3 linked regions of the Lonchura striata genome follow. The protein of the gene in region 3 interacts with the protein of the main gene of each other region in a biochemical or structural test. Links are inferred from orthologs where the notes say so. Each region holds a gene or a part of one and is shown on either strand. Other genes may lie near its edges.

Region 1 (3,743 bases), on a different chromosome or scaffold from region 3:
GAGACCAGAACAGTGCTGGGATAAGGGCTCAGCATCAGAGGGGGAAGCAGAGAGGTCAAGCAGAGCCAAACGGAAGGAGCCTCTGCCATAGGCTCCATGGGGAAGTCCACAGAGGAGAGCCAGAGGAGCAGGGAGGGAGTGTGTGTGGAGCCAGAGGGAGCAGACAGTCAGCAGTCCTGGGCTGGGCTCGGCTCTGGCTCTATGTGAGGTGGTACATGCTATATCCCACATGTGCTGTGTATAGTCCCACAGGAGCCACGGGCAGCCCTGCCCGCTGAAAAGGGCTGGAGGCGCCGTACAGAGAAGCGCCAGCCACGGCCGGGCCGCCCAGTGGGAAGGAGATGCCAAAAGCAGCAGGCGGGAGCATGGGCTTGGCTGCCATCTTCAGCTTCTCCAGTTCGGCCTCCTGGAGCCGCTTGGCCTTGGCGCGACGGTTCTGGAACCAGATCTTCACCTGGGTCTCCGTGAGGCTGAGCGAGCTGGAGAACTCGGCACGCTCGGCAATGGACAGGTACTGCTTCTGCCGAAACTTCCTCTCCAGGGCCAGCAGCTGTGCCGTGGTGAAGGGCGTCCGGGGCTTCCTGTTTGTCTTGTGCTTGCGCAGGGTGCAGGCGGGCGGGCTCAGTCGCCCTGTACCCGGGAGCAGCCGGGGAAGAGGGGAAAGGAGAGACACCTTGGTTAGCAGTGCCCAAAACCCCACAGCCTGCAGAGCCCCCACCCTACCACAGCTGAGGTGGAGAAAGGGAGACATAGGGTCCTACTTGAAGCAAGGTACCCCAAAACCACCAGGATTGCCTGGGGCACACTCAAAACTGCCGTCTGCCTTTCTAAAAAAAGAGAACGGTGCTTCATATTATAAAGCTCTGACTCCATTGAAAGAACCCAGCAATGGGCAGGAATGAGACACCCAAAAACTCTGCATCTCCTGCCTTATGAAGAGGAGACGCAAATAAAGGGAATGGCCCTCCAAAACGAAGAAACAAATCCTGTTTTTTTATTGGATTACAGGAAACAAAAAAAAAAAAAACGGACTGGCTTCTCAGTCGCACACCCTTCTTCATTAGGCCCCTGGGAACCGGATTAAGCATGTAATTAATTACGAGGTCTGAATTGACACTCATGCTCTATCTACCACTCTCCACTGGTCTGCTCCTCTCCTCTTTAACATTTCTAAGGGTCTTCAACATCCAGCTGTCCCGGGTTTACTTAGCAACAGCAAATTTTACTTTGCAATTTAAATAAATTAAACCGCTGCTTTGCTTTACACAAATCCTGCCGGGAAACCTGCCGTTTTCGGGACAGAGGGGCAGCTCTTGTTTGCAGCTTTGCTAAGGACACCCCAAACGCTTGGAGAGCCTCAGACTAAGGTCATCCACTTCCAAGGGATCCCCGGCAGGAAGGGAGCGGGGCCAGGCCGAGGGCAGCCGGCCCATGCTGCCCAGATCCGGGCGCAGCGCAGCCCCTGGAAATTAACGGCCTTCTCTGACCTCGGCTCCCACGCTGTTATTTGTACTAATTTAGATCTCTCTGCATTAAAGCAGGAAAGCATCACTAATTGTGCCTCTTCGGACTTTGGACATGCACCATTTAAGACGCCAGCCCGTGGGGCTGAAGTCCGCAAAGCTGCCGCGCGGTCTGTGCGCATCCTTACGGAATAACTTGAGCCACTTTCTGAGGAGAGCCTCAGTGATGTTGAGTCAAATCTTAAGTACCTAGTTCGAGCCCCAGGTTAAATTAACAGGCTGGCTACGTTGCTTTTTCTTCCCCCTCCCCCGGCTAACATTTGGCACAAAATTTCAACCCTGGCACGGCCGCTCTTCCTGCGCCTTCGCAGCCATCCTCCGCGAACTCTCGAATCGGTTCAGTACTTTAGACCGATCAAACTGGCCCAGGAGAGTACGAACCGCACGAAAAATACACCAGGAGAGGCAGGCAGGGCGAAAGCGACAGGAAAGCCCCGCCACCCGCGCAGCCTTGCCCTCGGTCCGCCCGGCCCCACGGGAGATCGCGGCCGGCCCGCAGAGCCCCCGGACCATTACTTACTCGGGGGAGGCGGCGAGAAGCGCGGGGTTTGCATCCAGGGACTGCGCTCCTGCTTCTCGGGGCTTTCCGCCTTGACGTGCGTGTCCTCGGGCAGCTTGACCAGCCCCCCGACGGCGAAGTGCCCGCCGAGGGGCAGCGGGGACGGCGGCGCCTCCGCCGACAGCGCGCCCAGCCGGGGACTGAGGCTGGCCGCCCCAGCGCCCGGCGGGGGCCCGGCGCCCTCGGGCCCGTCCCTGCCTCCCGGCTTCCTGTGGTCGGCCATGAGCGCCTCCACGCTGAACGGCAGGAGGGACGGGGAAACCTTGGGCTTGTCGCTTTCCTCCTCCCCGCCCATCGCCGCCGCGACGGGCAGCGCGCCGCCACCGGGACTGCTGAAGGCGGATGCGGGCAGCTCGTCGCTGCGGACCCCGGTGGGCGCGGCGGTCATATCCACAGCCGGGGCCATACAGGGGCTGCCGGCCGTCGCCACCGCAGCGCCGGGCGGGAGCGGGCGGCGCCGCCGCTCATGGGGCCGGGGGGCGCGGGCAGCCGGCGGCGCGCTCCGGCCCCGCGCCGCCGCCGCCGCCTCATAAAGCGGCGCGCGCCGGCTCCGCCCAGCCGGCGCGCGGGGGCGGGGCCGCGCCGCCCCATTGGCTGCGGCCCGGCGGCGCGCGGGGGGCGGGGCCGGGGCCGCCGGGCCCCCGCCCGCCCCGCCCGCCCCGCGCGCCCCGCCCGCCCCGCGCGCCCCGCCCGCCCCGCGCGCCCCGCCCGCCCCGCCCGCCCCGCCGCCCGGAGCGCTCGGGCCCGCTCCGCGTCCCCCGGGCCCGCTCCGCGCCCAGCGCTCGTCTCAGCGCGGAGAGCAGCAGGCCGGGCAGCCGGCACAGCCCTCCGCTGTGGTCAGGGGAAGGCTCAAAGCTCGGGGAAAAACGCATTAACGTCGGAAAAAACACCGGCCTTTCTGTTCGTAAAGCGCGAGGCAGCGAGCCCGAGCGCGTTCTTCTGCAAAACTAGCAGATACCGAGCTGTCCCGAGTGTGACCTCTCAAAGGGAAGGAGACCCTGCCCGCTCCGCCGCCCTTTTGAGTTTTTTGGGGATTTTTTTTTCTTGTGGATTTTGTTTTGTTTTGTTTTGTTTGGGGTTTTTTTGTTTGTATGTTTGATTCGGTTTTTACATGATCGCCGGCCCTGCGGTGTGTTCGATGTGACTGTGGTGATCTGCGTTTATATACATGTATATGCGCATACACGACGCATGATTGAGCTACTTCTTATGGCGTAGATGTGTGCGTGTCTTCAGATAACGAAATATTCGCCCACTTAAAAAGGAACATACAAGCCCCTGAGCCCTTAAAGTCCCGGTATTTTGTTCTGTTAATTCGTTTTACGATCCCTTATCCCGGCGCCCAGGACGGATGTGCAGTAAAACGGAGCCGCTCTCTAATAACGGGATTGGCCGCTCGCTGAGAAAAGTTTATTGATAGCTGCAGGGCTCTAATCTCCTCGGAACACAAGAGCCTCTTGCAGTCATTTAAGGGCAATTATCTAAACAGGGAGGGACAGCGAATTCCCTTTCCTTTTAACTGGACTCTATAAAGATGGTAGATTAGGAGCATATAGATTATGAAATGAATTGATACAATAGACATTTTATTAACTGATAAGCAACAGGATCTGATGGAAATGAATATTGTCCTGCGCGCAGCTCCACACACTTATCTCGCA
Region 2 (3,743 bases), on a different chromosome or scaffold from region 3:
TTAGTAAATAGCTTAATCAAAAATATTTACAGGCATTGTTTTTGCCATTCAGTACTACTTCAGTCAAGAAAGAGAGGAAAAGCCTCTAGTTTACTACACTGAAATAAAACCTTTCCTTACAATAAAAACACAAATAAATAAGTGCATAAACAGAAGGACTGTTCATAAACAGAAGATCATAAACTAAAGAAGATTCAAATCACACGCATTCAATGTGCATCCTGCTGAGTAACTGCCCTCTGTGTAACAGCTGACTACTTTCCTAAAATTTTCTGATACAAAAGCTGACAAAATATCAAATCAAAGATATTATGCAATTGCATAAACCTAACTCACAAGCAGGTCTCTTAACATTTCAGATTAGGAAAAGAAAACTAAGACACTTTGCATTTTCTTTTGTATATTTTGTAGTATATCAAATACTGTAATGAAACTAAGTAGTGAAAATTCCAAAACCACTGCTCTGCCTGGAATGCAATAAAATATTTGTACACTTTAGGCACCAGAAACACACATAAATCATTGAGCAGCATCTGCAGCCCATGACCCACGCATAAAACTTGAATGTTAACTTCACTTTTGGGGAGACAGCTGTAGTCAGATCTTGGCAAAGCGCCATAAAATAAATACCACAACTCTCCTTGATACACTGGGTAAGAACCGTTTAAACACTCCTTTCCCCACGCAGTAGAACAGCTACTTTGAAGACTTTACAGGAGCACAGGAACGTGTGCGAGCTCTACGCCAAGGACAAAAAACCCCAAACCTTAAATAAACGAAAAAAAAAAAACCACAGCAAACCCAAAATTAACCAAGCAAAATAAAAAAAAAATAATAATAAAAAAAAAAAAGGTAAAGGGTAGGACAGATTCAAATGCAGGAGCAGATGAAAACCGTCTTTGTGCAATGCGTAGAAGCAAAAGAAAGCTCATTTACACGGGTAGGAGACACCCTCGCACCCGCAAAGCACCACCGCTCCGCAGCCCGGTGGCGACGGGGACGGGCGGCGCGGAGGGAAGAGAAAGCGATGGGCAAGGCCGGCCGGGATCCGAGGGACAAGCCGCCCGTCTCCCAGCCTCCGCCGCATGCACCTCCCAGCCCGCGCTCCGCGGCTCGCTCCCTATTTAAAGGCTGATGTGGTGTTTAAATGGAGAGGCGGTGACGTGGGGCTGGAAAGCACCTTCCCATCCTAGCAGAGTCTATATTAGAGAGCGGCAATAGCGCTATATAAACAGGGCAGCCACAGGGAGGAGGAACACAAGGAGCAGGGAGGCAGAAAGGCAGGGGGAAGCCATGATGGATCTGAGAGCCACAAACAAGGGGGCCGAGCCCGCCGCCGGGACGCCGGGTTTGTCTCCTCCAGCGCTTCGGGGCGGGGGTCGCGGCCGGGGGCGCGCCGGGGAGCGGAGCGGCGGCCGGGGGGGCTCGGTGGCAGCGCAGGTCTGTGTGACTGCTTGTTGCAAACCTCTGTGAGTACAAGTGCAGCAGCGAGCCACCCGCCAAGGTGCAGAAAGCACGAGAAGGGAACGGGGGAGAGGTTTGGGTTTGGGGTTTTTTGCGGTTTTTTTTTTTTTTTTTCTTCGTTCTCTCTTTTTAAAATAAATACTGCCTCGCTCGCCAGAGTTGAGGGCTTTCGCTCGGCTTAGCCGATCCGGCCGGAGTGGGATAAGTGCTTTTCAACCATCGTCTCCTTCTTACAAAGCAACATAAAATGGCTCCAGCGGAGCCCAGGCGGGCTTCCCCAGCGCCGCAGAACCGAAAGCTGGCTCGGGCGCCCCTTCCCCTCGTCTCGGGGCGGGCGTTAGCGCCCGCGCTGCTCCGGCTCTCGCCCCTTCCCCGGGCGCCTCCCGCCGGCGGCGGGCGCCCCCCGCCCGGCGGCCCTTCCTTCCCTTCCCCGCCGGACCCCCGGCCTCCCCGCGGGGCCGCCCCCGGGCCGCCGCCCCGCGCCCCCGCCGCTCCGCTCCCGCCGCCTCTCTCCCCGCCGCCGGGCGCCACAAGTTGGCTGCCGCCGCGGGGGCGAGGCTGCCCGGCGCCCCCCGCCGCCCCTGCCCGCCGGGGGGCCGGGACCGCCCGAGGCGGGCGGCGGGAGGGAAGGGAGTGCGGGGGAGGGGGCGGCGGGCCCCGCCGGCCACCTCCGCCCGCGCTGCCCCCGGGGCCCCCCTCGCCCCCCGACCCGGTCCTTACCACGGGGTTTGTGTTAGTCGAGCTCGCCATGTCCCGAGCCCCCCGGGACGCCCCCAACCGCGGGGGGGGGAGTCGCCCCTAAAACAATAAACCTGCCCGGCTGCGTCCCCCCAGCGCCCGCGCGTTCCGCCCCGGCTGACGGGCGGCCCCGCGGCCTGTGCCGGGCTCGCTCGCGGCCCCGGGGCTGCAGCCGCCGCGCTGCCGCCTCGCCCCTTTATATAGCGCGAGCCGAGCGCTGCGCGAGCGGCCGGCGAGCGGGGGACGCGGGCGGGGGGGGCGCGAAGCACCGCGAGAGCTGCCGCGAGACCGCGCCGGGACCGAGGCGTCACGCGGGCGCCCCGCCCCCGCCGCCATGACACCTACCGAGGCGGAAGTGGCGGCGCGGCCGGGCCCCAGCGAGGCGGAAGCGCCTTCGCCTCTCCCCGCCCGCCTGAGCGCGGGACGGACAAACGGAACCGCTTCGTTGGGAGAAGTCCTGCGAGACCGTGGAGTCCAGCCAATGGCCGAACAGCCCCGTGTCAGCTACACTAGGGCACTAAGTGTCACGTCCTTAAACACCTCCACGGATCATGCTTCCACCGCCTCTCTGGGCAGCTTATTCCAGTGTCTAATCACTTTTATGTGAAGAAATTCACCCTGATGGCCACCCTCAACCTCCCCTGTCCTGTCCCTGGTTGCCTGGCAGAAGAGATGAATCTCCACTTGGCTACCACCTTCCTTCAGGTGGTCATAGAGAGCAAAAACATCCCCCAGAGCCTCCTTTTCTCCAGGCTCAACAACCCCAGCTCTCTCAGCTGCTCCTCATCAGACTTGTGTCCCAGACCCTTCACCAGCTTCATTCCCTTTCTCTAGACGTGGTCCAACCCCTCGATGTCCTCCCTGAAGTGAGGCTCAGAACTGAACACAGAATTCAAAGTGCAGCCCCACCAGTGCTAAGTAGAGGGAGAAGATAAATGCCCTGGTCCTGCTGGCCACACTATGGCTGATACAAGCCAAGATGCCATCAGCCTTCTTGGCCACCAGGGCACACCTGACTGTGTTCAGCTGCTGTTGACCAGGGCTGGGCTATGGTGCCTGCAGCAGGGCACAGTGCTGGGAGAAGAGCTGGCAGCCCTCACACGCTCGGGCCCTGCTGTCCAAGCTGCGGGTGACAGCTGGTGCCAGGCTCTGCAGAAATCAACACGCCTCACCTCGGTCCCCAGGAGGTTGCTCCAAGGCAATTAAAAACTGCAAGTAATTACTACTAGACAGAAATGGCTCTTCTGGGCCCACGAGGAAGGGGTTCTGAACCCTGCTCAGCATTGTGAGCACTGGTGCTTTCCCTCACAAGAAGTTGATTAAAGGCTGCCCAGGCCTATGTGCCACTGTTGTAGGAGAGTGCTACCACTGGGGCTAGTAGCTGAGGCTAGAGGTGGCCAGGAAGAGGGAGGCAGCACAACCTAAGCATTTACAGCTGTCCTTCCTCAGGGTCTCCTCAAGGCCCACAGGTGCTTACTGATCTGCAATGTTGCTGCTTTTAACAGTTCTTCGTCAAGTCAGTGGCAACAGGATCTCCCATC
Region 3 (3,743 bases):
ATTGGAGTCATTGGAGAGGAGTACAGAGGTGTGGTTCCTGGTAAAGGGGCTGTGGTAAGAGTCTGTGAATGGAAGAGCTGGGGGGTTTGACCAGATGTTCCCTGTGTCGCTTGCTGTGACGTGGATTGCTGTGCTGCTTGCTGCTGCTGCTGCTGCCGCTGCTGTTCCTCCAATATGGACAGACTGTTGGTGCTCTGGACAGGCTGCGGTGTCAGTCCTGTGCCATATGGCATCATCGGGCTGAAAATTGGAATTCCTGGAGTCATTGCACCCTGCAGAAGAAAACAAGACACAAAAGCCACAGATCCATTACTCCATTTTGTTTTTAAGAGACAAAGTTTTCAGGAGGAGTCAAAAATAAATCTATGTTAGCCAAGTTGCTCATATCAAACCTGAAGCATATAGTAGTAAATCATTAAAATTAGAAAATCCTCAGAAATGCAGCTGTTCTACAGAATAAAGTACTACCCAAAGGAATCTAGGGAACATGATGTGCTTCTCACACTACCTTGCAAGTGTGTCTCAACTTTGACCCACAATTTAACTTGAAACTGCCTGAACACCAACTGTGCTCACTGTACCCACTGCACTCATAGCCCAGCAATAATCCATTATGTACATAGTTTAAGCAGCAACCACCTAAATTAAATTAAATCTTTCCAACTTGTCAGTCATGTTTCCACTTAAGAGGAACCCCATTAAGAAATCCCACATATATTCTTACAGTCAGTGTATAAAAAACCATGTGTTTCTTATACTTCTGAATATAGACATCAATGGTTTCAAAATTCTGCTTTATACTAGTATTATTCGATACCTAGTAGAATTTTTCAGATCTGTTAACAAAAAAAAAATTGTGAAGGTAGATATAAGAAAGAGAAAGCACTTTCATAAAGGAAATTCAGATCACAGTTACATTTTAAATAATTCGTTTTTACCTGAGGGGAGGCTAAGCCTTGAGCGTAGGGTGGCAAACTGTTGTTCTGATCCATGATTCCAGTTATTTCTTTGGTGAGGCCAGAAGTATTTCCTTCAATTAATTTAAATAAAATTCAAATCCTAGAGGTTTTTTAACCGTTTAAAACATTCCAGCGAAGTAGCTTTTAAAGCCAAGCTGAAAGTATTAGGAAAACATCAGCTTCAGAGAAATATGGATCTACAACACTGTCCTGAGCCTGGAAAAAAAAAGTAATATCTTGAGAATAATATCTAAACACAAACCCAAAAGCAAATCTATCAGCTGCTGACTCAGATAAGAGACACCCACGTACAAATACATATAAGAACATTCACGCGCACGCACACACACATGCACAATCCATAAAAATAACCTTTTTCAGGCACACTCCATAGAAACTTTGCAGTATGATTCTGCTGAAGTCCCTGGCAGGTCACTTGACTCACACGAGCAGGCCTCTATCTAACCAAACCTTCCTGCACTAACAGCTCAAGCTGTTGATGCTCATTCTACTCCAAGCTTCGCTTCAGCTGCAAAAGCACTGATTTTTTTAGAATTTAATTCCCTTGGCTACTAATTGACATTGCTTGTAGTCTCTTCCTGGCTATTTTAAGGCTTGTGCTTTCAAAAATGACTTTTTTTCTTCTATGAGAAGAGCATCACAGCTCAAATCACAGCTAGGAAAACCTCTTCCATCCAATTCCATAAAACAAAGCACTGACAGATTTCAAACTGTAATGACATACATTTTGTGAGGAAAAAAGAAATATGTGAAAACAAATTTCAAGTACGCAAGTGAGACATACAATGGTTTTCTTTCATTTCTAACTACACTTCTGTTGCTCTGTTATGGAAATAAACAGAAGTGGATGATTTAAATTTTATTATACCAATTATATAAAATATTATCCCATTAATTTTTAAGTTTTTTAACTATTGCTAAGAGATACTCAAGGTCATCAAATACATCAGGCCAGACGTAGGCCACCTCAAAATGCAAAGACAGCCTATGCAGCCTCTCTTTTTTTTAAGATATGAGAACTCAGAACTACATTAATATTTACACTGCAGCTAGAAAGGTCTGCTTTTTTCCACCCATGACCTTAAGATATCACCAAAGGTATCAAGAAGACCACCCAGGTTTTACAACGTGGGAACATTAGAGGCCTAAATATTATCCTGGAAGAAACAAACTCAACTCCTCGACAGCCCAGCTATTTAGTAAAAAGGCTGGATACCAGGCATACAAAAACCTGCACCCAGGGCACGGTCTACGCAGAAGTCCCTCCTCTACCCACTAAAGGCGGCTTGCTCGGATCTCCACTACAAACGTCGGGCGACGTTTCGGTCGAGGGAACAGAGTCCAGAAGCCGCAGACAGCCCGGAGGAGGCCCCGACCCACCCCCGGGGGCCCTTTCGGGCTCGCCACCAGCCACGCAGCAGCGCTCGGCGTGCGGCCACAGCCTGCCCGCGCCCCAGCCCTCCTCGCTCCCCACCCGACCCGGCCCCGGCCCCGGCCCCGCCGCTGCCCGCGCCCATCCCGCGGCCGGCGCCTCGGCCGCCTCCCGCTCCCGAGCCGCGCCGGGGAGAGAAAGGCGGCCGCCGCCTCCGCGCCGCGGGAGCCCCTCCGCTTCCCCCGGCCGCGGCTCAGGCCGCCCCGGAGGTGCGGAGCGAGCCCGGCCCGCGCATCGTCCCCGCCCTCCAGGCCCGGCCTGCCCCACACCATCGCGCCCCACCAGCCCGGCCGCGGGCAGGGGCGAGCGGCGGGCACTCGGTACCGGGCGGGCACTCGGTACCTGCGGCTCGCTCCGCTCCCGCCGCGCTCAGCGCCCGGCCGCGCCCCGCCCCCGCTCCCGCTCCACCGGCGCGCCCGGCGCGTCACTTCCCGCCGCCGGCGGGACAAGACTTCGCAGGGAGGAACCGTCGGAAATTATCGAGGGCGAGGGCAGGAGAGGCACCTGGAGAGGCGTAACCACGGGCGCCAGCACAGGCTGGGCCAGCCGGCGGGGAAGCAGCTCTGTGGGGAAGGGCCTGGGGCTCCTGGTGCAAACAGGCTGTCCCCGAGCCAGCAGTGCCGTGTGGCCAAGAAGGCCAGTGCTGTCCTGGGGTGCATTAGGAAGAGCATTGCCAGCAGGTCGATCCTGCCCCTCTACTCAGCCCTGGAGAGGCTGCGTCTGGAGTGCTGTGTCCTGTTCTGGGCTCCTCAGGGCAGGAGAGACATGGAGCTCCTGGAGCAGATGCAGCAGAGGACTACGGAGATGATAAAGGATTGGAGCATCCACTTATGAAGAAAGGCGGAGGAACCTGGACCTGTTCAGCCTTGAGAAGACACGACTGAGAGGGGACCTCATAAATGTGAATAAATATTTAAAGGGTGGGTGTGAAGAGGATTCATCTGGGCCCATCTTGGTGGTGCCAAGCAATAGGACGAGAGGCAATGGGCAGATACCGATGCACAGGAAGTTCCACCTGCATATGAAGAAGAACTTCTTCACTGTGCAGGTGACCAAGCACTGGAGCAGATTGTCCTGAGAGGTTGTGGAATCTCCCTCACTGGAGATGTTCAAGAACCATCTGGACACAACCGTATGTCAGGTGCTTGAGCAAAAAAGGTTGCTCCAGATGACCCCTTGTGGTCCCTTCCAAATTCTGTGGATCTGTGGGGGTCCCTGGCAGTGCACCAGGCCCTCACAGGAGCTATGGTTCCTCACACTGGAGCTGTACAGAGTTCCACACTGCTGTGCAGCCACCTGCGGGTCTTGCTGCTGTGTCTGCACAGTGCCCA

What was found.
Region 1: the proteins of TBP (region 3) and MSX1 form a complex in vitro, tested with the Homo sapiens proteins (2 studies listed by BioGRID). The link is inferred for Lonchura striata from reciprocal best matches to the Homo sapiens genes TBP and MSX1.
Region 2: the proteins of TBP (region 3) and GTF2A1 form a complex in vitro, tested with the Homo sapiens proteins (7 studies listed by BioGRID and IntAct, with this or other methods). The link is inferred for Lonchura striata from reciprocal best matches to the Homo sapiens genes TBP and GTF2A1.

Annotation. Positions count from the first base shown.
Region 1 is NC_134606.1:12,955,739-12,959,481, forward strand, and holds MSX1 (homeobox protein MSX-1), read right to left. Parts: upstream 2,489-3,743; coding exon 2,044-2,488; intron 631-2,043; coding exon 200-630; 3' UTR 124-199; downstream 1-123. UniProt on the Homo sapiens protein: Acts as a transcriptional repressor. Capable of transcription autoinactivation.
Region 2 is NC_134608.1:20,387,004-20,390,746, reverse strand, and holds the start of GTF2A1 (transcription initiation factor IIA subunit 1), read right to left. Parts: upstream 2,356-3,743; 5' UTR 2,215-2,355; coding exon 2,185-2,214; intron 1-2,184. UniProt on the Homo sapiens protein: TFIIA is a component of the transcription machinery of RNA polymerase II and plays an important role in transcriptional activation. TFIIA in a complex with TBP mediates transcriptional activity.
Region 3 is NC_134605.1:42,589,731-42,593,473, reverse strand, and holds the start of TBP (TATA-box-binding protein), read right to left. Parts: upstream 2,851-3,743; 5' UTR 2,755-2,850; intron 1,176-2,754; 5' UTR 993-1,175; coding exon 939-992; intron 273-938; coding exon 1-272. UniProt on the Homo sapiens protein: The TFIID basal transcription factor complex plays a major role in the initiation of RNA polymerase II (Pol II)-dependent transcription.